Linked DNA regions of Coturnix japonica. The protein of the gene in region 5 purifies or fractionates together with the protein of the main gene of each other region. This does not show direct contact. Links are inferred from orthologs where the notes say so. Each region holds a gene or a part of one and is shown on either strand. Other genes may lie near its edges. The genes, in order: PHF5A, DNAJC8, SNRPA1, PRPF8, SF3A1, PLRG1 and RBM17.

What was found.
Region 1: the proteins of SF3A1 (region 5) and PHF5A purify together in Homo sapiens (affinity purification with mass spectrometry; 3 studies listed by BioGRID and IntAct, with this or other methods). This does not show direct contact. The link is inferred for Coturnix japonica from reciprocal best matches to the Homo sapiens genes SF3A1 and PHF5A.
Region 2: the proteins of SF3A1 (region 5) and DNAJC8 purify together in Homo sapiens (affinity purification with mass spectrometry; 4 studies listed by BioGRID and IntAct, with this or other methods). This does not show direct contact. The link is inferred for Coturnix japonica from reciprocal best matches to the Homo sapiens genes SF3A1 and DNAJC8.
Region 3: the proteins of SF3A1 (region 5) and SNRPA1 purify together in Homo sapiens (affinity purification with mass spectrometry; 6 studies listed by BioGRID and IntAct, counting the BioPlex papers as one, with this or other methods). This does not show direct contact. The link is inferred for Coturnix japonica from reciprocal best matches to the Homo sapiens genes SF3A1 and SNRPA1.
Region 4: the proteins of SF3A1 (region 5) and PRPF8 purify together in Homo sapiens (affinity purification with mass spectrometry; 4 studies listed by BioGRID and IntAct, with this or other methods). This does not show direct contact. The link is inferred for Coturnix japonica from reciprocal best matches to the Homo sapiens genes SF3A1 and PRPF8.
Region 6: the proteins of SF3A1 (region 5) and PLRG1 fractionate together in Homo sapiens (co-fractionation; 3 studies listed by BioGRID and IntAct, with this or other methods). This does not show direct contact. The link is inferred for Coturnix japonica from reciprocal best matches to the Homo sapiens genes SF3A1 and PLRG1.
Region 7: the proteins of SF3A1 (region 5) and RBM17 purify together in Homo sapiens (affinity purification with mass spectrometry; 4 studies listed by BioGRID and IntAct, counting the BioPlex papers as one, with this or other methods). This does not show direct contact. The link is inferred for Coturnix japonica from reciprocal best matches to the Homo sapiens genes SF3A1 and RBM17.

What each region holds. Positions count from the first base shown.
Region 1 is NC_029516.1:45,263,379-45,267,330, forward strand, and holds the start of PHF5A (PHD finger-like domain-containing protein 5A), read left to right. Parts: upstream 1-1,152; 5' UTR 1,153-1,309; coding exon 1,310-1,361; intron 1,362-1,477; exon of another isoform or gene 1,478-1,572; coding exon of another isoform or gene 1,573-1,624; intron 1,625-1,719; coding exon 1,720-1,743; intron 1,744-2,779; coding exon 2,780-2,946; intron 2,947-3,952. Other genes in the region: ACO2 (aconitate hydratase, mitochondrial), read right to left, coding at 950-985.
Region 2 is NC_029538.1:1,423,203-1,427,235, forward strand, and holds the start of DNAJC8 (dnaJ homolog subfamily C member 8), read right to left. Parts: upstream 2,801-4,033; 5' UTR 2,713-2,800; coding exon 2,644-2,712; intron 1,585-2,643; coding exon 1,483-1,584; intron 287-1,482; coding exon 230-286; intron 1-229. UniProt on the Homo sapiens protein: Suppresses polyglutamine (polyQ) aggregation of ATXN3 in neuronal cells.
Region 3 is NC_029525.1:15,973,711-15,977,815, reverse strand, and holds the start of SNRPA1 (U2 small nuclear ribonucleoprotein A'), read left to right. Parts: upstream 1-1,305; 5' UTR 1,306-1,404; coding exon 1,405-1,486; intron 1,487-1,709; coding exon 1,710-1,857; intron 1,858-2,576; coding exon 2,577-2,655; intron 2,656-2,802; coding exon 2,803-2,849; intron 2,850-2,947; coding exon 2,948-3,050; intron 3,051-3,558; coding exon 3,559-3,638; intron 3,639-4,105. UniProt on the Homo sapiens protein: Involved in pre-mRNA splicing as component of the spliceosome. Associated with sn-RNP U2, where it contributes to the binding of stem loop IV of U2 snRNA.
Region 4 is NC_029534.1:4,156,542-4,160,772, forward strand, and holds the start of PRPF8 (pre-mRNA-processing-splicing factor 8), read right to left. Parts: upstream 2,801-4,231; 5' UTR 2,682-2,800; intron 2,093-2,681; 5' UTR 2,083-2,092; coding exon 1,983-2,082; intron 1,904-1,982; coding exon 1,735-1,903; intron 1,154-1,734; coding exon 989-1,153; intron 888-988; coding exon 669-887; intron 89-668; coding exon 1-88. UniProt on the Homo sapiens protein: Plays a role in pre-mRNA splicing as core component of precatalytic, catalytic and postcatalytic spliceosomal complexes, both of the predominant U2-type spliceosome and the minor U12-type spliceosome.
Region 5 is NC_029530.1:9,656,315-9,660,305, reverse strand, and holds the start of SF3A1 (splicing factor 3A subunit 1), read right to left. Parts: upstream 2,801-3,991; 5' UTR 2,712-2,800; coding exon 2,646-2,711; intron 843-2,645; coding exon 730-842; intron 1-729. Other genes in the region: coiled-coil domain-containing protein 157-like, read left to right, coding at 3,183-3,434. UniProt on the Homo sapiens protein: Component of the 17S U2 SnRNP complex of the spliceosome, a large ribonucleoprotein complex that removes introns from transcribed pre-mRNAs.
Region 6 is NC_029519.1:18,056,570-18,060,690, forward strand, and holds the start of PLRG1 (pleiotropic regulator 1), read right to left. Parts: upstream 2,801-4,121; 5' UTR 2,772-2,800; coding exon 2,688-2,771; intron 1,524-2,687; coding exon 1,417-1,523; intron 874-1,416; coding exon 731-873; intron 507-730; coding exon 453-506; intron 346-452; coding exon 252-345; intron 1-251. UniProt on the Homo sapiens protein: Involved in pre-mRNA splicing as component of the spliceosome. Component of the PRP19-CDC5L complex that forms an integral part of the spliceosome and is required for activating pre-mRNA splicing.
Region 7 is NC_029516.1:3,132,081-3,134,330, reverse strand, and holds the end of RBM17 (splicing factor 45), read right to left. Parts: intron 2,171-2,250; coding exon 2,098-2,170; intron 1,964-2,097; coding exon 1,860-1,963; 3' UTR 501-1,859; downstream 1-500. UniProt on the Homo sapiens protein: Splice factor that binds to the single-stranded 3'AG at the exon/intron border and promotes its utilization in the second catalytic step. Involved in the regulation of alternative splicing and the utilization of cryptic splice sites.

The DNA.
Region 1 (3,952 bases), on a different chromosome or scaffold from region 5:
TGGCAAGCTTGGTATTACGCCCACTGCCTTCTTCACAAAGTGCTTTCAAAGCACCTCACTCAACGATCCTTCACGTGTCCCTTCCAAGCTGAGCTATTCTGTGACTCTCTGATAAGGTTATTGCTGCAGCTCCCTGGGTAGAGGGAACACCCTCCCCAAGGTCACAGCTGGCAAATGGAGCAGTCCGAGCTCTCAGCTTCACCATGTGGCACGTACTGAGGGCAGCACAGCAAGCAGCACTACATGAGAAAATGGCATTCTACTGCCTTCTAGGCTTTAAAAAACAATCAAGTGTTTATTAGTGAGTAGATAGTAAACGGGATAATGCCCTTAGTACTGTAGTGCCCGTGATGGGCACAAGCAGACGTGGGTTTTAGAGGTCACAATGGAGAAGACTGGGAGAGTCATTATGAAGGTAGATTCAAGCCATTTGGAAAATAAAATAATAATAATAAAAAGATAATTGATGTGGCCGCCTGGCCTTGCACGGCCCCTTTAACAAACAGATCTAGGAACTCCCATCCACATGAAAGGCCGCAGTCCTGGAGCCGGGCAGCCAAGGGCACAGGCTGCTAACGGCACGAGATGAGGAGGAGCCCGCGGAAGGAGGAAGCACGGCCCCAGGCGCGATATCTCGGCCTACCCGGGCGCGGTCACCTTGCGCTCACCTTGAGGCTCAGCGGTGCCCGGAGGCGGCGGGACCCGCCCGACACCGAGGCCCATCAGGCGGCCGAGCCGCCTCCGCCGGTGCGGCCCCGCCATCGCCATGGAAACGGGCGTCGGGCCGCGCCGGGGACGCGCTGACCTACACGCGCAGACAGCGGAGACCCGGCCCCACGCCTCCGCCCGCCGCCCCGCGCTCCCTCTGCCCTCCGTCCAGGATTGCAGCGGCCCTCACCCCACCGCCCAGCCCGGCCTCGCCCGGCCCCGCCCGTCCCGCGGCGCTCACCCGCAGCCGAGCCGCCAGGACGCAGTACGGCGCCATTTTGTGCACTGACAAAGATGAAGTCGCGCCCCGATGGCGTCAGTCCGCCCTTTTGATACCTCTGGCGCGGGAGGAGGCTGAAGGGGGCGGGGTCCAGCGGGTCCTGGCAGGGAGGTACCGGAGGAGAGAGCGGCGTTCCCATGGCGGGGGTACGGGCGTTCCCCGCGTTGAAGGGAGCAGCGAGGCGGATTGGGTTTGAAGCACCATGCGGAGCTCGGTTACGGGTCGGTGTCCCCTCCCGGAGCGCCGCTTTGTCGGACGCTCTCCACACCCCTGACAGGACCGGGACACGGCGGCAGAGCACCGAGAAGTGTCGCCGGCGCCATGGCCAAGCACCATCCGGATCTCATCTTCTGCCGCAAGCAGGCGGGCGTCGGTGAGTACCGGCGCGGTCGTGGCCCTCCGCACCTTGACGGTGGGCTCGGGCGGCAGTTCGAGCCCGTTAGGTGCCCGTTAGGTGCCCGTCAGGCCCCTCGCGCAGCTCCTCGTTCTTCCCTCGGCCCTCTGAGCTCGGGGTTCGTGGCGCTCCCCGAGGCCGCAGGGATGTGGTTGGGGATCGCGATGCGGCGCTGAGTGCGGGTTTCCTTATGGCCGGTGGGAGCCGTTGGCCGGACACCGTGCGGAGGGACTGTGGGCCGGGTGGGTGTGCCCTGAGGACAGGCGTCGCTTGTATTTGCGTTCTAAATGTAGCCTCAAGTAATATGTGTTTTTTCGCATTCTTTTTCCCCTTACAGCAATTGGAAGGCTTTGTGAGAAATGTAAGTACATCTTCTGCGTGTAGTTGTTTGAGAACCCAACTCTGTGGTAAGTGCCTGCAGCTCGGTTTCTCTTTTTGCTCTGCTGCTGACTTGGGGTCACAACCAAATAGAAATAGCAGGTAACTGCAGCTTGGGCTGGGAGGAGTGACCTGTGTGTTGGCCTGAGTGTATGGAGCAAGTGCGAGAAAAAGACCGCACAGCTTCCCTTCAGCATCTGTTAGAATGGGAAATGGATGGAAAAAAGTGCTACAGCAGATGAATATGCAAAAACAAATATCTATGCAACCTACTGCAAGGAACCTGCTTTGGCCAAAGTGTTGGACTTGATTCCTGGAGATCCCTTCCAACCCCTATAATTCTGTGCTCGTGCTCACCTATAGCAGAAAAGAATAAGCACAATTGGTCATTAGATCCTTGCAGGAGCTCAGTACAAGTAAGCCAGCTATTTCTAGGCTCCAAAAAATGTTAAAAACAAGCGAAGTGAGGAGAAGCACAGTCTGAAGCAACTGAACTGTTTTCAGAAGTACACAGAAGTTAAATGGATTCCCAGTGGTAGTAGCTGAGGGCAGTTGGGACTGAGATTGAAGAGCAGGTTAAATGAGCTGTTTGTGAGAGTCAGGATTAAATACCTTGGGAACTGGTAATAAGATCTGAAGCCTTTCATCTGGAGGTCAGAGTTTTGGATCGGGGCCCGCAGAGCAGAGACTGTCCATGGCATCTGATGGCTGTTTGCCTGTATGATAAGAGCACTTGTATTTCTCTCAGTCCCTTGTGAGAAAGCAAGAGCAACTCTGTGAAGTGGCAATTTATGCCGGTTTGCCCTTTTTTTGGCCTTGGATATGGCTGGCTGTTGGCCCTCGTTCCTCTGAAGTCTGTGTAAATATAAAGTTGCACCTTGTGCCTGTAAGCTAAAGTTCTGCAGTCTAACTGCGTTGTCTTTGAGCATACAGGCAAGTTCTTTGTCCAGCAGACTTTTCCTCTTTTATGTGGGGTGGAGAAAAGGACGTTCTGTAACCAAAGACTGCTGTACTTGCAGGTGATGGCAAATGTGTGATCTGTGACTCGTACGTGCGGCCCTGCACCCTGGTGCGCATATGTGATGAGTGTAACTACGGCTCGTACCAAGGGCGCTGCGTCATCTGCGGGGGCCCAGGGGTGTCTGATGCCTACTACTGCAAGGAGTGCACCATCCAGGAAAAAGATGTACGTTGTCATCCAGTCTCCTGTAGAATTGCTTATGTCTTTGTTTAATAGCTATGCTTATCTTTAAAGGGACTTAGAGCAAGTGATATTAATGTTAGGACATTGGATGCTTGGGTTCCTCTCCCAGAACTGGCACTGGTTTTCATTTCCTTGCATGTTTCTTTTTCTGTCGGTGGTTCCCAGTGTTTGTGGAGCACTTTGAGGTAGCGAGCAGTGCCTCGATTCTGTATCCCATAGGATCCTTGTGTGCTTTACGATGCATACTCACAGTTCACTTCCTCCACGCTCTGCTTGTTACCACTTTCAGCTGTTATCTTACTAAATCTCTCAGCCAAAGTTTTATCAGCAGCAGAGACACTTTAGACGTTGCAAAGGCAGTGGCAGGATCAGCTTCTTACTGTGTCCGTGATCATACCATACATGGTATGATCATGCCACTGGCATATATGGTACCATAAGGCCTACAGAATCACCACCCATGTTTACTTTTGTGTTACAGTAAAATTAGCCCTTAGTGTCCTTCGTCCTTTGACAAGGCAGATGCTCGCTCTCTAGGTATTCAATAATATCCATCATAGTGAGGGCAAGTCATGAAGAACTGCCAATGAAGTAGTAGAAAGACTGTAGGGAAATGCAAGAACGTGATGCTTGCGGTTGCAGTGTGTCAGAGTATGGACCCAATGGAGAGTATCGGCTGTGTGGTTTTGGGGCTGGATCCTTTGCAAACACCATCTCCAGCACACCCTGATGTCAGCAGAGTGTGCTGACAAACAGCTCTGATTTAGAGGAATGTACTTAGCTGACTGAGCTGCTGCTTTAATTTTCTGCAGCACCCATATTTTCTCTAGAGGTCTTGCAGGGCAAGCCCGTGTCTGAATTTAGTCAGTAGATCTGGCGGGAGCACCATCTTTCTTAGTATCTAAGTATTATATGTGGATAGAAATGCTGTTGGTGGTACTGCCTTCTACATCTAGAAGTGCTGTGACAAGCAGTAGTTTTGTTGTCT
Region 2 (4,033 bases), on a different chromosome or scaffold from region 5:
TCAGTTCACATTGGCTCAGTCACTCATGTTACAAAGCAGCAAACCATGCACAGACCAGCTTTCCCCTCACAGATACAAAGATTGTTCTACACATTTCTTCACAAAACAGCTGCTTGTCTCTACCCAGACACAGCTTTTCCACTGCTTTCCCCATTCCCAAGCACAGCTGCACAATCTCTGCAGAGCTTCTTGTTTCATTTCAGAAGCTTCAAATGCAAAAGTCAAATACCTGTCGGAACCTTTTCTTTATTTCTTCATCTGTAGCTTCAGGATCCATCTGCAGAACCTAAAAAAGACAACAACAGAGCAAATTCAACTGTATGCCCCACGTTTCAAGGTGGGCAAGCTCTGAAAACTTGGTTCATCAGCATACAGGCACATCAGAAAGCTCACCCCAATGGGAGCTGCTTCAGGATATGAGTTTTCACCTAGTAAAATGGAAACGTTTTAAGGGACACCATGTTTGGGACACTGTATTTTTAGCAGTGCTATGTTTCTTTCAGTGTGCCAATGTAATTTGGCAGAAAATAAACTCCATTGCATTTCTGTTTGTCTTTAGATATCAGAGAGGCTGGGAACAGCTGAACATAGATTCTGAGCAATGCCCAACCCAGTGCTTTAAGTCTGGTCACAGAACTTCCATAGTTATGAATTCACAGCTCAAGTCCCCATTCCAACACTGCTCTTTCTAGGAGTCAGTATTGTCAGGTTCTCCTGATGCTGCCAACATCTCACGTTGCCCAGGGAACCACTATGGATCACAGAACTTGGCTGCAGGGTCTGCACTTCACTCCAGTCTCTGTACCATTTAATGGACTCCTTCAATACCGGCTGCACTCTGCTTCTGGACCCCTGTGGATGATGCTGTACCTTAGTTTGCAAGTCACCTATTGCAATAGTTTCACCATGGCAGAGGGTTGGAACTGAGTGGGCTTTTAAGGTCCCTTCCAACCCAAGCCAATCTGTGATTGTACGAATACCCAGAACATCACAATGTATTCCCTTCAGTGTTTTCCTTGTAAGATTTTAACTGCAACTGGAACAACACAATACATCATGCAATGGAGTTATGCAGTTCCCAGTGACTCCTCCAGGATTACTCTCTGCTATAACAAGTGAGTCTCTCTATCCTTCTATGAACAGAAGTTCAGTGGGATGAACACCCAAAATAAAGGACAATCAGAAACCCTAAGACCACAGTGGTCAGAAGGGAACCTGACAGCGTGCCACCTGTTATGTTATCATTCACAAAGCAGTTAGCATTACTCTGCCAGTGCTGTTAAACAAGAGAAGCATGGCAACAACAATTTCATCCTGCCATAAAGAAAACAAGCACATATAGATCATCCTCCTGTCTCCTGCACTGTAATCCATGGTTAGAATTCGGTACCTTTCTGATTCTGGCCTCTTTCCATTAAGAAATACTCAGTAAATCTAGAATGGGATGTGCTATGTCAGACAGGAGAACACGATCAGACCAACCTCAAAAGGATTCAAGTTGAAATAGGAAGATCCAGGTCGGGTCAGCCGGTCAATTTGGTTTTTTGATGTTAGAACAGAATCTCGTTTTTCAATTTGCTTCACCTGCAGAACAAAAGACGCTCTCATTAACCAACCATAACAACATATTTACCTGCTTTCCTATGTGATGGCTACACCAATTGTTATCATTCGGTGCTATAACTCACAACACCTCTTGCTCATCTCAAGCCTGTAGTAACTCAACATTAGCAGGACACAGTGTAACAGCACCGTCAGCATCATCTTTTAGCTATAAAAGAAACCCAGAAAACATTTCTGTCTTTGTCTTCCACGTCTTGCTCAGCAACGGAGCCTTTTTGCCCTCACTTCACTCCTACACTTTCCCAGTGCCGTCATCCTGATACCTTGGATACCAGCTGCAAAGCTGCTTTTAACCCAGCACTGCCAGGAGAGCCCATTGGATGCCATCACATCACTGTAAGCAAGCAAATACGTTTCACTCTGACCATTTTTATCCAGTCAGCGCAATTTACTTCCCCATCCTCTCGCTGTAAACCCAAACCAAAGACCGGACTGTCAATCACTATTCATCATTAGGGAAAGGAATACGTAGATGTTCACTGAACAGTGCTCAATTAAGCAACCTGAGGGATGCACAGAGAAAAAGTGGGGTCATCCCCCTCCAGCTCCCACACAGGAACAACGGGCTGAGCTGGGAGCTGACAGCAGAGCACACAGAGCAAAGGAGCTGCGGGGATCCAGCGGGAGGAGAACAGAGCAGAGAACAGCACAGAGCAGCACAGAGCAACATAGAGCAGCACAGAGCAACATAGAGCAGCACAGAGCAACATAGAGCAGCACAGAGCAACATAGAGCAGCACAGAGCAACATTAGAGAGAAACGAGAGCAAATAGAGCACACAGAGAGATAGAGCAGAACAGAGCCCAGCATAGAGCAGCACAGAGCAAGCCCACAGCGGAGCCCATCGTGCCGCTCACATCCCCACACAACCGCAGTTCTCGGGCCGCCCCCTCCCGCCCCCACACAGGCTCCGCTCCGCCCGCCAGGCCGCACCCCCATGTTAGGCCGCGTTTTAGCGTAAGGGGACAGACTGATGTCGGTATAGCGGGGCCGGGCTCGCAGCCCCCCCGCCGCCGTTACCTCGCTGTAGAAGGTGAGGAACGCCTCCTCGGCGGCGCCCCCCGCCCCGCGCTCCTCAGGAGCCGCCATCGCCAGCACCGCGTGACGTTGTGCGCATGCGCCAGCGCGACAACGACACCAAGAAGGCGCCTGCCAGTCACGTTGATCGCGGGCGACGCGTGGTAACGCTGCAGAGGGCGGAGGAAGCGCGGACATTGCGAGGTGGCGGGCCGCGTCACCGCGCGGATCCCGGTGTCAGGGCAGGCGACATGGCGCCTGTGCCGCTGCGGCGGCCTGAGATGAGCATCATGGTCAGCAAACAAGCAGCGGCGTGCAGAGCTCGGATCCGCAGGTTTGAGTGCGGGCAAGGTGTGAACGGTGGGGTGACGGACCCCTGAGCAAGGTGAGGAGACTCACGCCTTGTTAATGCAACTCGGGAGCTGGGCAAGGAGCCGATGGCGAGGTGCGGGCTCTATCCGTGAGCGGAAGAGCGTATCGGTAAAAGGCAGGCGCAGAGAGGAGCGTACTCAGTGGTGACACGGGTGTGAAGCATCGAGTAAAATAGACAGTGGAGTTATGGATAAGGGTCCAAGAGGAGTGACAGGAGATGATCAGGGGTGGAGCACCTCAATAGAGACAGGCTGAGGGGTTGGGTTTGTTCAGCCTGGGAGAAGAGAGGTTGGCGATGACTCATTGCCAGCTTTCAGTACCGTGAGGAACTTACTGCCAGGAGGGGAGTAATCTTGGAAAGGGACTGATATAGCAACACGGGAAAATGGTTTGAGGTAAAAGGGGAATTTTAGGTGGATGTTAGGGGGAAGTTTGACTAAGGAGAGTGGTTAGGGCCTGGACAGGACATGCACAGGAGGTTGTAGGATGCCAGGTTTGACGGGCCATGGCACTTGATTATGGGTCTCAATATGGGGTCTATGGTGTCTCTGTGGGGATCTATGGGGTCTCTGTGGGGGTCTGTGAGGTCTCTATGGGGATCTATGGGGTCTCCTGTGCAACCTGATCTAGTAAAGGTGTATGTTTGGTGGCCCTGCCAGGCAGGGGGGTTGGAACTACATGATCCTTGAGGTCCGTTCCAACCCGAGTCATTCTGTGATTCTGTGAGGGGGGGCTGAGCTCTGAGCCCTGCCCCGCTGCGGGACCCCGGTGTGTGCGGGGCCCACCCCGCGTTGTGCTCTGTTATAGGGAGAAGGAGCGGGAGCAGCTGGCAGCCTTAAGGAAACACCACGAGGAGGAGATCGATCACCACAAGAAGGAGATCCAGAGGCTGCAGAAGGAGATCGAGCGCCACAAGCACAAGATCAAGGAGCTGAAGGATGATGACTAAGCTGGGTGGTGTTTATGTGCGGTGTAAGACAGCCGTGCAGACTGTGTGCTTTGGCCAAAGTTATCCACATGT
Region 3 (4,105 bases), on a different chromosome or scaffold from region 5:
GCTCTGGGATCCCCCTGTTGTTCTCGGGCCAAACCAGAGGTCAGAAATGGGGCGAAATGCTTCTGGCTTCTGCCACTTTGCTCATCAAATAACAAACTTCCATTGCTGTTGTCATGTCCCAGTCCCAGCCGGGAGCACCGTGTCAGCTCTGGCACTCAGCTCTGCCGTGGTATATTTAGATGCACTGAAATGCTGAATTTACCCTTATCCTTGGCACAAACTATGAAAGCACAGCCTGGCTGAGGTAGTGCAATTGAAGATGACCAATCCCCAGCAGTCTGTGCTTTCTGCTGCCTTCCAGCCCACAGGGAAAGAGAAACAAATCCTCCGTGTCGAGTTCATACAACGACATCAGCTCCCAGTGTTTCCCAGGGCTCCGACTCCCTCAGAAATCATTCCTGGAAAGCAATAACATTCAGATTATTTATCTAAGCTATTGCTTGGAGCTATTAAAGCCTCTCAGCCGCTGGTATGCACAGAGGATCAAAGTGTGCCTCTACCAGATAAACGAATACAATTTATTAAAGCACATTTCTTCATTGTCTCTTGGCACCAACAACTCAACTCTAACAGCTGGATCTTAGTGCAGCCTGAAGCCCCGCTCGCAGTTTGGCTGTGAGGCTGCATCCACAGCAATCTTAAAAACCACCACTTGGACTTTCCAGTACAAAGGAGCTTTCCAGAGCTCGTGTACAGCATCTGAAACCAAGAACTGCTCTGTTACAACCCCATTACAACCCCTAGAGCTGAGCAATACAGTGTGTTGTGCTATAGGAGGAAGGTCCGCATTCAGGTGGCTCTGAGACGCCTCCAGCTGTGTTGGGCTGTGCACAGGGAAGCAGTTCCCTCTGCTGACCGAAGTGCTGCAGCGCTTCAACTGCGACCACACCAGAATTGGGCACAAGGACAACTTTTATTTATTTATTTTTTATTTATTTAAATTGGCTCTTATTTACAATGATGCACTGGCACGGGTTGCCAAGACAAGCGATGGATGCTCCCCTCTACAACACCCAGCGCTGTCCCTTCTAACCCAACCACGCTGTGATTCCATGATTCTGATTTCTATGCGCTTTCCTTCCAGCTCGACAGCTCAGAAAAGCCACCTCTATACAGCCCCTCCCGGCCGCCATTTTGTGGAGGAGGGGCTGCAAGAGGACGGCCCTCTTCCTCTCGGCTATGCTCGGCTGTGTTCGGCTGTGTTCGGCTGTGCTCGGCTGTGTTCGGCTGTGTTCGGCTGTGTTCGGCTATGTTCGGCTGTGTTCGGTTGTACTCGGCTGTATTCGGCTGTGTTCGGCTGTTCTCGGCTGTACTCGGCTGTTCTCGGCTGTACTCGGCTGTGTTCGGCCTCGCTCGGCCGTGCGGCGCGTTGTGGGCTCGGTGCGGCCTGTGTGTCCGGGCGGGATGGTGAAGCTGACGGCGGAGCTGATCGAGCAGGCGGCTCAATACACCAACGCCGTGCGAGACCGAGAGCTCGACCTGCGGGGTGAGATGGATCTGCCGGGAGGGAGCCGGGCCTGGCTTTGTGGGGGGGGATCGGGAGCGGGCCTGTGTGGGGCCTGCGCTGAGGGGAGGCGTGGGGCCTGCACTGGGAACGGGCCGTGCAATGGGGGGGGTCGTTCTGTGTGTTAAATGCCTCTTTCATGTGTCCCCAGAGCTCCATCCCATCCTGCTTTATTCCCTTCTCACGTTTCTTTTCCCCCCCACAGGGTATAAAATCCCCGTCATTGAGAATTTAGGGGCTACGTTGGATCAGTTCGATGCGATTGATTTCTCGGATAATGAGATTCGGAAATTGGATGGGTTCCCTCTGTTGAGAAGGTTGAAAACTCTTCTGATGAATAACAACAGGATTTGGTACGTGGTTGTGTTGTGATCAGTGTTGTGATCAGACGGGACCTGGGGCAGAGCAGAGTGAAGAAGGGAAAAGAAGCGTGCCCGTGTCTTTTAATACCTGATAGGTGTAAAAATATCTGCTTTATGGGGAAGAAATAGCGCTTGGTATTTGCTTCAGCCTTCAATTAGCCGGCTTTGTTCATTGCAAAGTTCTGCCCCAGCTCTGTGTTCCATTTTCATACAGGACAATGAGATGCAGGGCCTGGAGTTTGTGTTGGGTCCTTGGGGGTTGTTCACTACCCCCATAGTGATGCACAGACAGGGGTGCCTGCAGCTGAGTGAACAGAGCTACCTTGCTGCACCTGGTGCCCTTACAGTGGCAGCTGCTGTTTTATGTTGGCTTTGTTACAAAGCTGATGCTCACCCAAACTTCTGCTGCTGTCATACTTGGCTGTGTTTAAGTGAGGTGCTCTATGTTGGCATGGCTGCCCAGGGAGGTGGTTGGAGTTGCTGTCTCTGTAGGTGTTCCAGAGCCATGGAGAGGGGACAGAGGTGGCCCAAAATGCTTTCAGCTGTGTTGGCCACAGACAGGTTTATTGGGCATGGTGGGGATGGGCTGAATGATCTCTGAGATCTCTCCAGCCTTAATGATTCCGTGATTTTTAATATATCTGTGTCTGTGTCCACCATTGTTAATTTCCAGCCAAAGGTAAAATCTTTGTGTTTTTATTCTTCTGTAGTCGGATTGGGGAAGGACTTGAACAAGCTCTGCCCAGTCTCACAGAGCTGGTTCTTACCAACAACAACATTTCTGAACTGGTAAGTTAGTGATGCAGAATAAATCTTGACAGCTCTAATGTTTTTGTCCTCTTTCTAATTAGTCGTCTTCTTCAGGAGCTTCATTCTGAAATATTTGATTGTCGTGAAATGGATTTAAGATTCTTACTCTGTTCTTCCATTATATAGGGTGAACTGGATCCATTATCAAGTATTAAAACATTGACTTACCTGAGGTGGGTAATCTTGAAAAGAAAAGCAGCGGCTTGTTGTGATATATTTCAATATATTCAATACATGAAGTAACTCTTTGTGACCTTTATTTGCCTCGTAGCATTTTAAGGAACCCAGTAACAAATAAGAAGCATTACAGATTATATGTTATCTACAAAGTTCCCCAAGTCAGAGTGCTGGATTTTCAGAAAGTGAAACTCAAAGTAAGTCTGTTACCTTCGGATTGAACACCAGATGGAGACCTTTTCTCCTATTAACTCATAGAACTGTAGTGAAATCAGTAAAGCTTTTTGCCCCAGCTGTAAATGGCAGTGGAACAGTTTGTCCTATGAGGCTTTAAAGCTGGTGCTTCTCTTTGATGGTTTCACGCCGTTAAGGATGTAATCTGCTTTATTGTTTTTAATTGATGTTTCACTGCTGTTGTTTGTTTAGTCTGATTCTTTTCTGGCTGGCCGGTGTTGGTGGTGATAAGGGGAACGTAGAGAAAGGAATGAGGGATCAGAGCAGAGCCCTCTGCTTGGGGCTGTTGCTTCTAAGAGCACTGAAGTGCTACACCTCGAGTTGGAGTGTTTGTGCAATGTGTTTGTGCTTGTCCTGGGCTCCTCATGCTGATGTTCACTGAAGATGAGCCAAAGCATCTTTCTTTGCAAAGAGCAGCTCTGCGAAATGCTACATCCTTCCATTAACTTTGTATGTGTGGTATCGCTGTAGGAGCGACAGGAGGCAGAGAAAATGTTCAAGGGCAAACGGGGTGCACAGCTTGCAAAGGATATTGCCAGGAGATCAAAAACGTAAGATAAAACAAACGCTTGCACTGGCGTTCTCCTTCAGAAACACCACGTTGTGTGCGGCACCGAACTGAGACGGCCCTGGTTGTTTGGATGGTGGTGAACACATCTGAGATCTTTATGGTAGACCCGTTTGGTCAGGGTGGATCGGGATATAGCAGTAAACAGGGAACTCTGTGTTATTTTACTGCAGAGAGGGGGCTGTGGTTTGCTTGGTTTTGCTCTCTATAGTGACTGGGAACTGAAAAATCTATTGATCACATTGAGGGTGCTCAGTGAGTGCTTAGAACTGTTATCAAATGTGCTCTCGCTGTGGTTAATGAGTGGAAATGGCCCATGTCTGTGATGGCTTTTGAACAAGTGAATCAATGAATCAAACACCCAGTTCACATCCCAAATACACGCAGGACAGGGCGCAGGTCTGTGAAGCTGGGTCACATTTAGGCAGCTCTTTCAAGCTGTGACTTCCA
Region 4 (4,231 bases), on a different chromosome or scaffold from region 5:
AGTGAGCAGCTGATTAGCCAGTCGATACAGCGTGGACATCATAGGCAGAGTGAACTGCCAGCGCTGGTAGGTAGAACCATTCACATACCTGCAGAGAAACAAAGCATAGGACACTAATTTTGCAGCCACAAAACAACTGGTCTTCTACCTTTCTGCTATTTGCAGAAAATACGAAGGATAGATAACTCTTGTCCCTCTCCAGGCAGAAAAATAAAATGTACAGGCTTGTTGAAGATCTCCATGGACTACATCTGCCAGTTCCCCTCCATCTCCATTATCAAACTGACAAGATTCAAGAGCCTCCAGTTTGTAAACGCACTGTATATTTAATAAACTCAAATAAAAGCTAGATGATCCAGGTTTTCACTCTTATCATGTGTCAAGAAACATCAGTTTTACCAGTTACCCATGCAGTAACCTGCCTGGACAGAGAGGGATTGATTGCCTTCCCTCAGCACTGAAGACAGAGGGATGACTACAGCAGTCAGATTCTCCCTCCTATCCTTGAAAGAAGGTTTTCTCATCCCACCAACACCATGCATAGACCAATATTATATAAGCAAAAGTTATGCACTTTTACATACATTTAATTTATGTAGTGCATGAAGATTTTAGTGCTTATTTTCTTAAAGCCCCACAGTGAATTGTGTTACCAGGCAGGCACATACTTCCTGTTGTCTTTCAGTGGCTGGTGGTCGTAGAACCAGTCCAGTACTGGGGCATCTTCCTCCGGATCCAGCTCAAGCTGAATTGCTTCCAAAGGCTCCACATCGAGAATGTTATCAGCATAATCCAGAGGAGGTTCTTCATCATCAAATGGGGGAAATCTCATTCTCTTGAAGTGACGTCTGTCCCTCTTCTCTCGCCTCATCATAATCCACATGGACCTGGCAGAAACCAGAGACCATTACATTACATGCTGCCTTTATTGTGGATGTGTGGTTATTCACTCATTGTGTCCCCCCAGAGTTAAGTAAAAAGCACTTACCCCCATTGTGCAATGTACACTGGTTCTATAACCCAGGGAATCTCATTGACAAAAGAGATGGCTCCTGTGATGTGATACAGGACTGGAACATCTCTGATTTGCTCCCAGGGCATAGGCATGTTCTCCAAGAGCTTCAGAACAGCGTGAGGCATGTACTTCAAAGCACTACAACCAGAAATCAGGGAAAATTACAGCTGGAAGGCATCGCCAGAGAACAATTACCTGTCTGCAGCAAGTTCAGTTACCTGTATACCTCCCACTCATAAAACTGCTCAGCTAACCTGCACATAAAGGCCTTCTGTGATGAACCCACAAGCCTTCTTAACTATCCTTCTGCTTCAGATTCCACTACCAAAAGGCTTTTCCTACTGGTTGGCTTCAGAGAGATTGCTATGCATTAAAAACATTCAGTAATAATAATACTAAAAAACACCGAATGAGTTTTTATGGGTAACTACATGAACGCAACAGACCCTGCTTTACACAAGACAGTTCTCTGAGCACAAACAACACAGAGACACCCACACGACACTTTAATCACAGGGAAAAAAGGCTGATTAGGTCACAATCTCCCCCCAAAACCTCTTCTAAATGATATTTTGCCTTAAGAACTCCAAGCAAACACTTCATCATCTCATCCTCTCCTGCACCCCACTGCCACCCTTGTGCTGTGATGCTGCTGTCTGAGCTCAGCTGTCCCCAGAGCCCCATTCTGAAGGCACCGCTCCTCATGGGGAGCTCCGTACCCCAGATAGACCCGTTTATCGTGGCGGAACTTCCTGTTGGTCATATCGCCGTGATCGCGGATGATCTTCCTGACGTGCTCGGGGGGCATGTCCTCCTTCTGAGCGTCCACGAAGCCGAATTTCCTCTTCTCGGCATAGCGCTTGGCCTGCAGCTGCTGCCACTTGCGGGCTGCGGGGACACAGAAGTAACGGGATGAGGTGAGGCCGGTCCCGTTGGGCGCGGTGCGATGGATCCAGGCCGTACTCACCTTTCTCCTGCAGCTTCTCCTCAGACATGTAGTCAGGTAGCGGGGCCATCGGGGTCGGTACCGGCGCGCAGCCGCCGCGGTACGGGAAGACGGCGGCCATGACGACACACCTGTGGAGGAGGAATCACAGAATGACCCGGGTTGGAAGGGACCTCAAGGATCATGTAGTTCCAACCCCCTGCCTGGCAGGGCCACCAAACATACACCTTTACTAGATCAGGTTGCCCATGGCCCCGTCCAACCTGGCCTTGAACACCTCCAAGGACGGGGCATCCACAACCTCCCTGTGCAGCCTGTTCCAGGGCCTCACCACTCTCCTAGTGAAGAACTTCCCCCTGACATCCAACCTAAATCTTCCCTCTTTTAACTTCAAACCATTTCCCCGTGTCCTGCTACTGTCAGCCCTTTCCAAGAGTTTACTCCCCTCCTGGTTACAGGTTCCCTTCAGGTATTGAAAGGCTGCAATGAGGTCACCCCGCAACCTTCTCTTCTCCAGGCTGAACAAACCCAACTCCCTCAGCCTGTCCTCATAGGGGAGGTGCTCCAGCCCCCTGATCATCTTCCTGTCCCTCCTCTGGACCCTGCCCAAAATCTCCATAGAGATTTGAGGAACAAGGGGCTCAAACCGGGATCACGGCTCCCTCCTCCCCCCTCCCGGTCCCTTCCACATCCCCGCGGCCCGGCCCCCCCCGCACACACCGGTCGCTGCGACGTCCCGCACTCCCGCACCACAATGGCGGCGCAGCCCACCACCACCGCGCCTGAGAGACCCGGATGTGGGTGGGGTGCGCGGCTAGAAGGCTCGTCCAATCAGCTTTCGGGGCAGCCTCACAGACAGCGGGGATAGCCAATCAGAGCGCGGGGAGGGCAGGAGGCGGGATCAAGTGCGGAAGAGGAAAGGAAGCTGTGTTTAGAGTACACTACCGGTTGAATGCCTATTCATTTCCGGTCCCGCCCTCTGCCGATTTTGATTGGTGGAGAGGGATAGCGGTGACAGCTCGACGCCGGCTCTGATTGGACAATCAGATACCGTAGCTATGGGGCCTAAGAGGCCTAAGGGGCAGATATGGCTGTCCCAGCTATGGGCCCTAAGGGGCAGATATGGCTGTATGGGGGTTTCCTCAGGCAGCCTCCCCTTTGTACATGGGTATCCCTTGTGAGAGAGAGAGAGAGGCCCCATCTCTGTCCCCACAGGTTCCCATCCCAAAGCTGGGCCCTGTATCCTTCAGTTTGGACACACAAGCCATACCCACAATGTGTTCCTATACAGCAGGCTGTATGGAGCCAGCACTGTGAGACATCCCTTAGGGCTCAGAACAACGTCCCCAGTGTGTGGCAATGGTGTGACAGCAGGAACGTGGTGACAATGGCAGCCTTGAGCAGCAGTGGCTGTGTGGGCACAGAGCTGCTGATAGAGGCACCCCCAGCAGCTCCACAGCCTTCAAAAGCAAATTGGGTGTAAAAAGTCCTTTCCCTTTAAAGCCTTGAGCTGATTTGTTTGCTGTTTATTGAAAGCCTGTGTTAGTAAGAGCTGCTGCTGCTGCTTGAGAGCGTTACACCAAGACTTCTGGTTCCTCATAGATGCCCATATCTAACCCATGTGAAACATCCCATTCACAGGAAGCAACTATCACACACCATCATCCTGACCTGCAGCTCACGTGCTCCCACACTCACTTATAGGGAGTTAATAGATCTGGGAACAAAATAACACTAGAAAAGTTCCAGTTGTCTGAAGTTAGCAGCCTGTCCCCAAGGATGGCACTGAAGCTCCCACTGTCCCTAGTCCAGTGCCAGCAGCATCTGATAAGGACAGGTCCAAACCTTCATCTCTCACCTGGCACAGTCTCCTCTGTGAGGAATTATAGGTGCAGGATTTGGCTTTAACCAGCCCTGGACTGAAGGGCAAAGCCTTGGAGATGCCTGGTGCTGTCCCATGGGAAGTGCCAGAGGTAGAACAGAGTCCCTTAGGCAATAGGACCCTGCAGGGTGCAGCACCTAAGAGGTTAGAAACACACAGTAGTGTTTGCACGTCCAGAAAAGCAAAGGGGAAACAATTCTCCCTGCTCCCTTCTCAGGGCTGCCAGAGCCTTCAGGGCTTCTCTGAGCAGCTCCTGGTTGTTCAACCACATCATCCATAGGTGCTGGAGAGCAGAGCCCCCAGTGTCTGATCCACTAGCACCTCCTCTGCCCAGGATCCACAGCCACAAGTCCAAGCAACACTGAAATAGCCATCCTCACTTCCCACA
Region 5 (3,991 bases):
TAAGATGGCCTGGCTAACACCAGCAGTTTATGTTTTCATGTTGGTAACAGGAGGAAAAAGCCCAAATGAATAAAGATGTATTAAACTTCCAGGCTTCTCCCCTAACTGTGACATCTATACTTGTGATAATCAACCTGCTGCACTAAACTAGGATAAATATGCCATGCACATCATGGGCAGTTCACCTACCCCAGACCTCTCCCTGGGAACATGCACTTCTATCCCCTTGGCTATAGAAGGGAAGAGACAGCTGAGTCAGAGTGCCCCAGGTGCTGGCACACTTCATGAAGTTGTAGGTGAACAGGGATGGGACTGAGCCTCAGGGTCCAACAAGGAACCTAGTGTACCCTAAAGGAGAGGTAATTGCCCACACAATGTAAAGTAGAGTAAAAATAAATGAATGACTCCTGTTGGCTTAGTCATTCAATAAGTGCTAGTAACAAACAAGGCTTCCTTTCCACCTGCAATTTTGTTTGCCCTCCAGGTCATTTTAAAAAGAATTTATTTACTACCACAGCTTTTCTAGCAAAGCACATATTAAATCTCCAAGGAGACAATTGCTGCCTCTATTCTACAATCTCACTGATAAAAATTCAATCCTTAGAAACCTCCAGGGAACGCTGTGGGACTGTGATTTGTTTCAGCTTCTGGAGACACACAGACAGTAGCACTGGAAGGTGAGAGGCAGAAAATTCCCATGAAAGACAAGACAACACCACTGCTGTTTACCTGGCTACGAAGCTGGCAGTCTTGTCAACAATATTCCTGACCTCGGGAGGAGGATAAATAATTCCCACCACAGGTTTGGCTGGTGCTGCTTCCTCTTTTGGCTCCTCTTCTGGCTGCAAGAAAAACATTTTTCTTACAGTCTTATGTATTGCTACCTCCTAAGTAGCAAAAACATTCCTGAACCACCATCTCTGGAAGACACATTTCACTCTGCAGTATTTGCCACTAGTCAAGATAGTAAATTCAAACAGCCTAAATCTAACATGGTAACAAGCAAAGGAGCTACAAATGATCTCGAATATCACATCATACATCAGCATCAGAGTGTGCAAACACAGCCTGGTAGTGTCCAAACTTTGATTGTGTTTATTTTTAGTGAGTTGAGTTGTAAAATTCACTTCCCTTTCTCTTTCAGTTTCTGTACCTTGAGTAACAGTCCTATGGTACCTTAAAAAGCTGTTCTGAAATACCATGCTGAAGGAGTGCTCTGGAAGAATTAAGCATTTCAAACAGCAACTCCTGCAGCAGACAGAACTGCCTGTTCTCCTCAGACCATGACATTTTCGTGGCACGAAGATATAGTTTAACAATCTGAACCTGTAGTCCTGCAAAGCAGCAGCACTCAGCAGCTTCCCAGGCGAGGAGATGGTGTTTGTCAGCCTGCCAAGGGCACCTGCTGCGGGGGCTGCTGCGAGTGAGACAAGCAGGAAGGCCATCCCATGGGAACCAAACAACTCTTCCCAGTGTTTCTGCTCTTTCAGCCTCAACCCAGTGGAAGTTTATAGATGTTGAGCCAAGATGTAGCAAAGCATGCCTATAACACCACACCCAGGAAGAATTCAGTATTGCTGGACAGCTCTGGAAGTTACAAGCATTGCAGGTTGGATATTCATAGATATTTCTTTTCGGAAGGAGCAGTGCTGCACTGGCACAGGCTGCCCACGAAGTGCTGGAGTCACTGACCATGGAAGCTTTCAAGAAACATGTGGATGTGGCACAGAGGGAAGTGGTCAGTGGGTATAGAGGGGATGGGGTGACAGCTGGACTACATGATCTTAGAGCTCTCTTCTAAACTTAATGATTCTATGATTCCTAACGGTCTGCAGGGCTACCAGAAATGGGAATCTAAACGATCAAGCCAACAGTAAATAACACATAGCATCCCATCCTACTAGGGCTTTAAAGCTTTTTTTAGAGCTGAGAAGAGCTCAGCTGAGTGTTTTCCTCCCTGTGGTTGTGGGAGGACCTGCACCACAGCCCCAGCAATCACCCCAAGGGCAGCTCTGCCTCCCAGCACAGCCAGCTGCAGTTCTCTGTAGGATGCTGACGGTGCCTCCCTTCCCTCACAGCACAGATACAGGGGACATCTTGATGGTAACTAAAAGCCTGCCAGACAAAACAAAAACACCCAAAACATTGGAGATTTGGAAATAGTTGTTCTCCACAAAGCGGTGATGCAGTGCCAAAGGCTGCACAGAGAGCAAAGGGGGGGGTCAGCATCCCTGGAGGTGCCCCAGGATGATGGAGCTGTGGCACTAAGGGACGTGGGCAGTGTGCACGGTGGAGGCCGGCTGGGGTCGGACATGGGGATCTTTGCGGCTTTTCCCAACCTTAAAGATCTATAAAAGACGTTAAAAGAAAGACACAACAACCCCTTGGAGCATTCACCCCCACTTCCTCCAAGCAGCAGATGGAAGGGCGGTGTAACACCACCATTAAGCGCTGCTTTTAAACGACCACAACGCTGCGCTCCCTCGTTAACTCCACCATAACAACGCGACGGTACATTCACATGGGGCCGCACCCCGTCACAGGCATTAAACCCCGGGGTGGCCGGTCACCCAGCCCCGTATCGGCCATGCAGCCCTCGCTAAATCCCGCCCACAGGCCCGAAGCCTCCATGCCGCGGTTCCTACCGGTTTGCTCTCTGCAGGCGGCGCTGGCTGCGCCGGAGGCCCGGCCTGCACAGGCCCAGCCGGCATGGCGATACAACAGACCGCTCAGACAAGGCCGCAAAGAAGGCGCCGAGACGCTGACAAAATGGCGGACAGGCACCTCGAACTGCGCATGCGCGCCGGAAGTGACGCTCAACGTCGCGACAGGAAGGAGGCGCAGAGGGGAGGAGCGCATGCGCAGAGGGTGGTTCCGCTCGTGCGGGCGGGGCGTTGCCATGGCAGCGGGTGCGGCGCCGCGGCCTAGTCCCAGGCGGCCGCCTCCAGCATCACCTGCAGCCGGTGGGACCGTCCCGGCGTCCCAGCGCCCTCAGCGCACACAGCGCTGCTGTTCGCCTCCCGCAGCTCCCTGCAGGCCGCTGCCTAGACACCCCTCACCCCAAATCATACAGCCTTGGGGACGCAGCGCCTGTCCCCTCCATCCTGCTGGCAGCCCTTTGGTGTCACCCACCATCCGTTCCCAGCGCTGGTCCATCCATCTGTCCGTCTGTCTGTCCACCCATGGCTCACCTCCTGGGCCACCCCGGCTGCATGGCGAGCCTGCAGGCCGACCTGAGGGACCTGCAAGGAGCCATCGCCGACGTCACCTCCCGCACCGGCCCTGCACGATTCCCATCCTGGAAGTTCCCCAACAAAGTGTCCTGTGAGCTGGACCTGCTGGCGCTGCTGGAGCGGTACAGTCACGCCGAGGGGGATCCTGAGTTCAGCCAGCATGCGCATGTGGTGCTGCTGGAGCTGGTGATAGACAGGTGAGCGGGCACAGCACCCTGCAAAGAGCAGCAGGGGCACAGCAGCTCCTTCCCCACGGAGAGAAGATGTGTGATGCTGCCAAGTGCTTTGGGCAGCGGGTTGGAACTGGGTGGTCTTTGAGGTCAAAGAATCACAAAATCATTGATAGGCCATCTGGTCCAACTCCCCCACAGCGAACAGAGACACCCACAGCTACATCAGGGTGCTCAGAGCCCTGTCCAGCCTGGTCTCGAGTGTCTCAGTCCCTTTTTCTGACCCTCCTCTGGCTATGCTCCAACAGCTCTGTGTCTCTCCTGCACTGAGCACTCCCCATCTGGATGCAACACTCCAGGTGAGGTCTCACAAAGCAGAGGGGCAGATCCCCTCCATCACCCTGCTGGCTGCACTGCTTTGGATGCAGCCCAGGATACAGTTGGCTTTTCAGGCTGTGAGGGCACAGTGCTGGCTCATGTCCAGCTGCCATCCACCAGTACCCCCAGGTCCTTTTTGTCGGGGCTGTGCTCAGTTCTTTTGTCCACCAGCTTTTACTGACTGTGGGGGTCCCTTCCAACTCAAGCTTT
Region 6 (4,121 bases), on a different chromosome or scaffold from region 5:
TAATGACAGCCAAGAAAGAACACTGCATACACCAAGATGATATCTGACCAACTTAAAATCATATCACAGAATGGCTTAAGTTGGAGGGGATCTTAAAGGTCATCTAGTTCCAACCCCCCTGCCATGGGCAAGGTTGCAAACCATTAGATCAGGTTTTCAGGTATTTTATAAAGCTGAATATTCAAAGTACTTTGTTTTGACTTGTAGTTCTTGTAGATTATGCAAATGTTAATGAAGTAATAAAGCAGTACCTGGACTGAGAAGCAGGAAGAGATACTGCTAAGGACTGAGCTGCAGATTCACTCGGCATCCTCTGGATCTTAGTGTCTGCTGTCAGAGCCACACCTTAAAAAAAAAAAAACAAAATTAAATTAAAAAATTAAAAAAATAATTAAAAAAAAAATCTCAGTTTAACTCTGAAATACCTGATTTAAACACAGAATTTTACTTACCAGGCCCAGGTGGATATGGATGTGTGCCAGTTATCACATACTCCAGTTCTTCTCCTAAAGACCAACAAAATAACGCATTCAAACAAAACAGTACAACAGAGTAGGTGGTGCAAAGCATCCTCAATTTGACAACATCCTCAACCCTTATTAGCTCTCTAATACCCAAATATAGCACACACTAGCATTACCTTAAAACTTGCTTGTTTTACTAATGAATTAAGTCTCCTACTGTTTCCTTGTGAAAACAAAGAACAAACATGGTACTAGGAATAACAAACCTTCATTTCCGGAATACTGTTTATGTCCATATGGATCCCCAGTGGCTGGGCCTCCTTTCTCTCTCATGTTTTCTTTAAGAGTAGGCATGTGCAATACTGAGCCGTACTCAGTACGCAGCTTGACTGCCATCTTTACTTTGTGGCTGTTGGAAGAACAGAGCATAATCCTGATTAAATCCTGATTTTTGAACTGCTACTAAGTTTTGAAATATTTTAAAAAACAGGAAACCTTTCATACAGCTAACATTACAATCTTCATGCTTTTCAGTTCCCTTAACTGCTAATTGTACTGAACACCCAAACTCCTGATTTGGATAGGATTGTTCTCTATAACTTCCTGAAGGGAGGTTGTAGTGAGCTGGGGGTTGGCCTCTTCTTTCTTGTCATTAGTGATAGGACTAGATGAATGGTTTCAAACTGTGGCAGGGGATATTCAGGCTGGACATTAGGAACTACTACTTCTCAGAAAGGGTGGTCAGGCACTGGAATGGGCTGCCCAGGGAGGTGGTGGAGACACCGACCCTGCGGGTGTTCAAGGAACGACTGGATGTTGTGTTGGCTTAGCGGGAGCTAATAGTAATGTGAACGGTTGGACTAGATGATCTTTTAGGTCTTTTCCAACCTTGGTGATTCTATGATTCTATAGAACAATTGCTAACAAAGTAAAACTCAGCCACAGCACTCACCTTTCATCATCTAATGGTACAGGTTTGGCATTATCAGCTACAAACATATCATGGGTTCTCTTCAAAGATCTGAACACAAGTGTGTGCACAGAGTGCTTCTGGACTTCCTAAAATAAAGGAAAGCATATTTAAATAAATTTAGCCACGTTTAAATGAAAAACTGAAATCTGAAAAAGAAACTGAGTAGCAATTTCAGACTTGCATATGATACAACACTATTCCCATCAAACACTGCTCCTCTTAGAAACTACAGATTCAAGTATATCTATTAGTTGTTTTAATTCAATGCCTGCTCAAAGTAAAACCCAGTTTCTCAGAAATGACAAGCCAGAAAAAATTTGCACTATCATCTAAAAATACATGAATACGTTTATCTTCCATGTTTTCTAGATGCTTTTATACCTAAACAATAAAGTACCTGATTCTGAAAACATTCCTTTATTGCACTACCTCCATAAAAATGAACATCAGTTTCTGCACAGTGTCACCCTATGTAAGAACAGTGATGTTTACTATAAGAAGTAATCCTGGGATCAAATAAGACAAAGCCTCTTGTCCTTTTGAAATTACACATTACTAAAAGCTAATAATTGTTAATATCTCAGTCAGGGCCAAAATAGTAGAACTTAAAGCTATTAGCTTATATAGAATATTTGTTTAGGACCGCGCAATTCAGGTTTTAATTCCTACCTTCCTCTCAAGGCACAATAAATAAATAATTAGAGATGTGATAATCAGAGTATGAGCCTCTTTGTGCTCGCTCTGTATGTCACAAATAGGAGCAACACAGAGTGGAAGCATTAAGAACTTCGGGCTCTAGTTACCATTCAGCTGCCCAGCCTCCACACTCCATTAAGCTGGGGCTTCCTCCACTAAGCTCTGCTTTCCTGCCCTGGACTCTGCTTACCCACTCATTGCCCCATTCTGCCACACTTCATACTCCCCTAACTCAGTAGGGCCCACACAAAACTTTTAGCTCAGGACGGTCCTGTAAAATCTAGATATCAAATAAAGAACATCTATAATAGGGCTTGGGAACTAGAAATTCCATGCAACTGCAAAAAGAAACAGGAATTACAGTAGCAAATGTCTGCTTGTCGCAATAAAAGCAATAGGTAACTCAATACCTCCACAACAGGAGGTGAACAACTATAGATATCTCTGGACAGTGATGACACCCAGTAAAAGAACTGTTACGTAGGAGAACTGCACAGCATCTTCTGTGCTCCTACCAACAACACTCAGTAACACAAGAACTGAACCGCCCTCACCTCCACCATGGCGCCGTCGCTCCCCGCTCCCCGCTCCCCACCGACAGCGATGGAGACACGTCCGGCTCCTGCTCTATACCTCATAGGAAGTGACGCAAATCGGGTGCGCCGGGCTGCATTGAGGAGCTTGCAACGCCAGGGTGCGGTGTTGCACTGGCGTTTTGTTCTTGGTTTGTTTTAATAATAATATGTTGGTTTGTTTTGTTTTGAACTTACAGTCTCGGCACTTTGCGTGCTGTCGTCTGCTGAGTGAATCGGGCTCGTTTTTAGTGCATCTTGAAAGGAAAACCTCCTTGAAATAGAGACCTTTGTAGCAATCCGAGAAAAGAAAGATCTGTGTTTTGTAAGAAAACTTCACTTACATGTGCTACTTATTACAGCATCCTTAGATTTTACAGAGGCCTGTAATTACACTCTTTTTTTAAAGACCCCCCCCCCCCCAAACGTTTACATCTAATTGAACATCTAATTCTACAGTAACCCTGTCACAGTGTGACATGTACAACGCCAGCGGCTTCCAAGGACGTTTCTAAATCAGCTGCCAACAACTGGATTCCTTTCAAAATCACATTTACTGGCACAGCTTATCAGTGGCCCAAGATGGCTCTATTCCCCCTTGGCCCAAATTACCTCTGTGATGTGTTCAGCCTAAAGGAGCCAACATACAAGGATGGGGTTTGTGTAAAGAGTGTTGCACCATGGGCAGATGATTTGGCAAAGCAAACACAAGAGGCGGCACATGAAAATTCATTCCTAAAAACACACACATACACCTCTGCCAGTAAGTAGCTCTCCAGGACAAAAGCAGTGTACAAAGAGATGTTCTGGAATACCATTTCGGAATGCTACAAAGAGATACCGGAATACCATCAGGTCAATGCTTTCTTTTCGCAGTTCTTCATAGCAGATTTGTTGCATTATCAACACTACGTGAGTTCAGGAAGAGTTTCTCATTAACCATGTGAGCTGGGGAGGAAGTGAAGAAAACACAACGAAGAAAGATGTTCTGTTTGGAGACAAAGCCTCCTTGACACCGTTTTAAGAAGAAGATTAAGCCATGTTCTTGGTTGTTCATAAGGCTTTATCCAGTCGTTATACAGTGTCAGCCTAGCTGTAACAGTTGCAAGCATCAAAGAAAAGTCCCATCTCACACCCAGCAAGCCAACTAATGGAGATTAGGTCCTGCTCCCCAAATATTTGTTATATTCATGTATGTTTTCCAATATACCTTGCTCCCCCTGCAGTTCCAGATTCTGACTCATGCTAGAAGCATTTCTCGCCAGTGTAAGTCATGTCCCCATGCAGGTGGAGCTTTGCTGAAAAGCCTCTTCAGGAAAAAGCCTTGTGGTACAGACACGGCTCCTTCTAGGACAGATGCTTCTTCAACCCAAATCCGCACACCAGTCTTGGCACAATGGGCATGTGGTTCATTCA
Region 7 (2,250 bases), on a different chromosome or scaffold from region 5:
ATTAAACTGGAAGCTCAGAAGTTGGTGTGACAGCTTAAAAAGGCAGAAAAGCCAGTTAGAAGAATAAGTCTGTAAACTCAGGAAGTTTTAACAGCTACTCATTCAGAACAGCAGTATTTGCTGAAATAAAAGCCTATTCTCCTATTTCAATTTATGTTCACATCACAATAAATGGATTACCAGCATGACATTCAAATTGTTTAACTCCTGTAAGCAAATATATGCTAATTGCTATTAGGCTAATTTCTTCATTTTACTACATAGTAGAAAAGGCTTTAAAGTATATTGCTCAAGGTCAAACAGAAAAACTAACAGCAGAGGTAATAGAATCTGAATTCTGTTATGGCCCCGAGACCTGTGGTTTTAGCATTAGTCAGGTTGGTTCTTCACCTTTGCTGCACTGAGGATCTTCTAATGGTGGATTACAGCCACTGCCAACACCTTGGAGGGAAGGCCTTGTGTAAAAGAAGAGGACATTAAGGAAGCTGACACACGGTAGGTAAAATACAAGGGTTTTTTTTTACAAAAAATTGTTTTCTCTTTTACAGGCAAATGTTTGTACAGGGGTTGCTGGAACACAAGCAGACAAAATAAGCAAGAAACAAGACGAAGGGTCTGTCATATGGATCTGCAGCCAAAACTTAATAAAAAAGGCAAGAACTGGAGATACTCACAGCATTGATCAACTACAGATCTATATCCCCTCCCCCAAATACATGTGTATAACAGGAAAAAGACATCCAGCTTTTGAACAGCTAAAATGCCCTCAAAGCTCCCTTCCATTTTAATGCCCACACAACTTCAGTGGGAATTGTAAATGCAATGGAGCACACAGCCACCATCACTGCACAGCCTTCTCTTGCCACCTCTGTCACATACGGTTCCCAAACAAAAGGTGAACACGAAACCAGGAGGAGAATGCTACATACTATTTTACACCAGATTGCAAAGAGCTGCAGTGTTTAGAAGTTTAGTTTGTCATTTCTTCATACTTTTCTATGAGCATTTTCTTCCACTGCATTCTTCTTAGGTGTAAATCAATTAAAAGTTAGTTACCTACGTTAGAAGAATTGAGAATCTGATAGCTGGCCAGATGAAAGTTTCTCTCAGTTCTATAAACAGCATTTCAATAACTACCTGCAATCAGTTAAGGCTGCTAGCAAAGACTGTCTGACAGTGCAGAGCATCTGCTAACAGTCCACTCATTCTGATTCAAATGCCTGAGCCTTTTTTATTTCCTTTCTTATTCCATTTCCCTCAATTTAAATGTGTTTTCTTTGGACTTGGGAAGAAACACAAACTCACTCCCTTTTACTTTAGTCTCCATTCTGGCATAGAAAATATTGTGCTAAAGTCAGGAAAGAACAAACTAGTTGCCAACTGTCCAACGACTCCAAATCACTCTGGTGTGCAGAGATGGAGGACTGACCAGCAAGGGAAATATCAGGAAAGAGAAGCATAATAGCACACAGTCCTTTTCCAAAGCTTCCCACTTACAGTGGATGCTGCACAGGAAAACTGTGAAGAAGCACCAGAACAAGGAAAACAAGGATACAGACAAAGCATTTCCTCAGCAGTGGGTTTGCAAAATAATTGAAGTCAAGGGATGAAAAGTTCAAAAAACCAAGGATTCCCAGAGCAATAAGCAGAATTGTGCAATTCAAAAACACAACAGACATGAATCTTAATTTCAAAGGGCTTTATATTACAAAAAAATGAAGTCACAACGAATGCGAAAAATCCATTCAATGAGGCTTGTTTCCAGTCTGCTAGGAAAGCTACTTTCTCTTCTTTTTTCCCAGCCTACTGCTGAAAACATGATTGCCAAAACAGTGACACCTCGAGCTAGATTTTTAAAATCAAACTTGCTCTGCCAGATCCAGTACTCTGAACTTGTCCAGGTTGTAGAAACAAGCCTTCACCACTCGGCCGCCAAAGTATCTTCCATTTAGATCCACAACAGCTATAATTGCAACAAAAAAAGAGGTCAGCAAGCAGCAAATCAGCGACTAAAAATCTGAGTCCAATGAGCGAGACTGTTTAATCTCTTTGAAGAAATGAACTCTGAAATTCATATGACACAGTTTAATAACCTACCTTTAATTGCAGACTCAACCCGTTCAAATTCCAAAAATATTCTTACAGCTTCATCATCAGGGGCACCAGGAATCTGAAAGAAAACCCAAAAACAAAACAAACCCCAGCAGGTCTGATTAGAACAGTAACAAAACCACTGCATCACGCAGCACT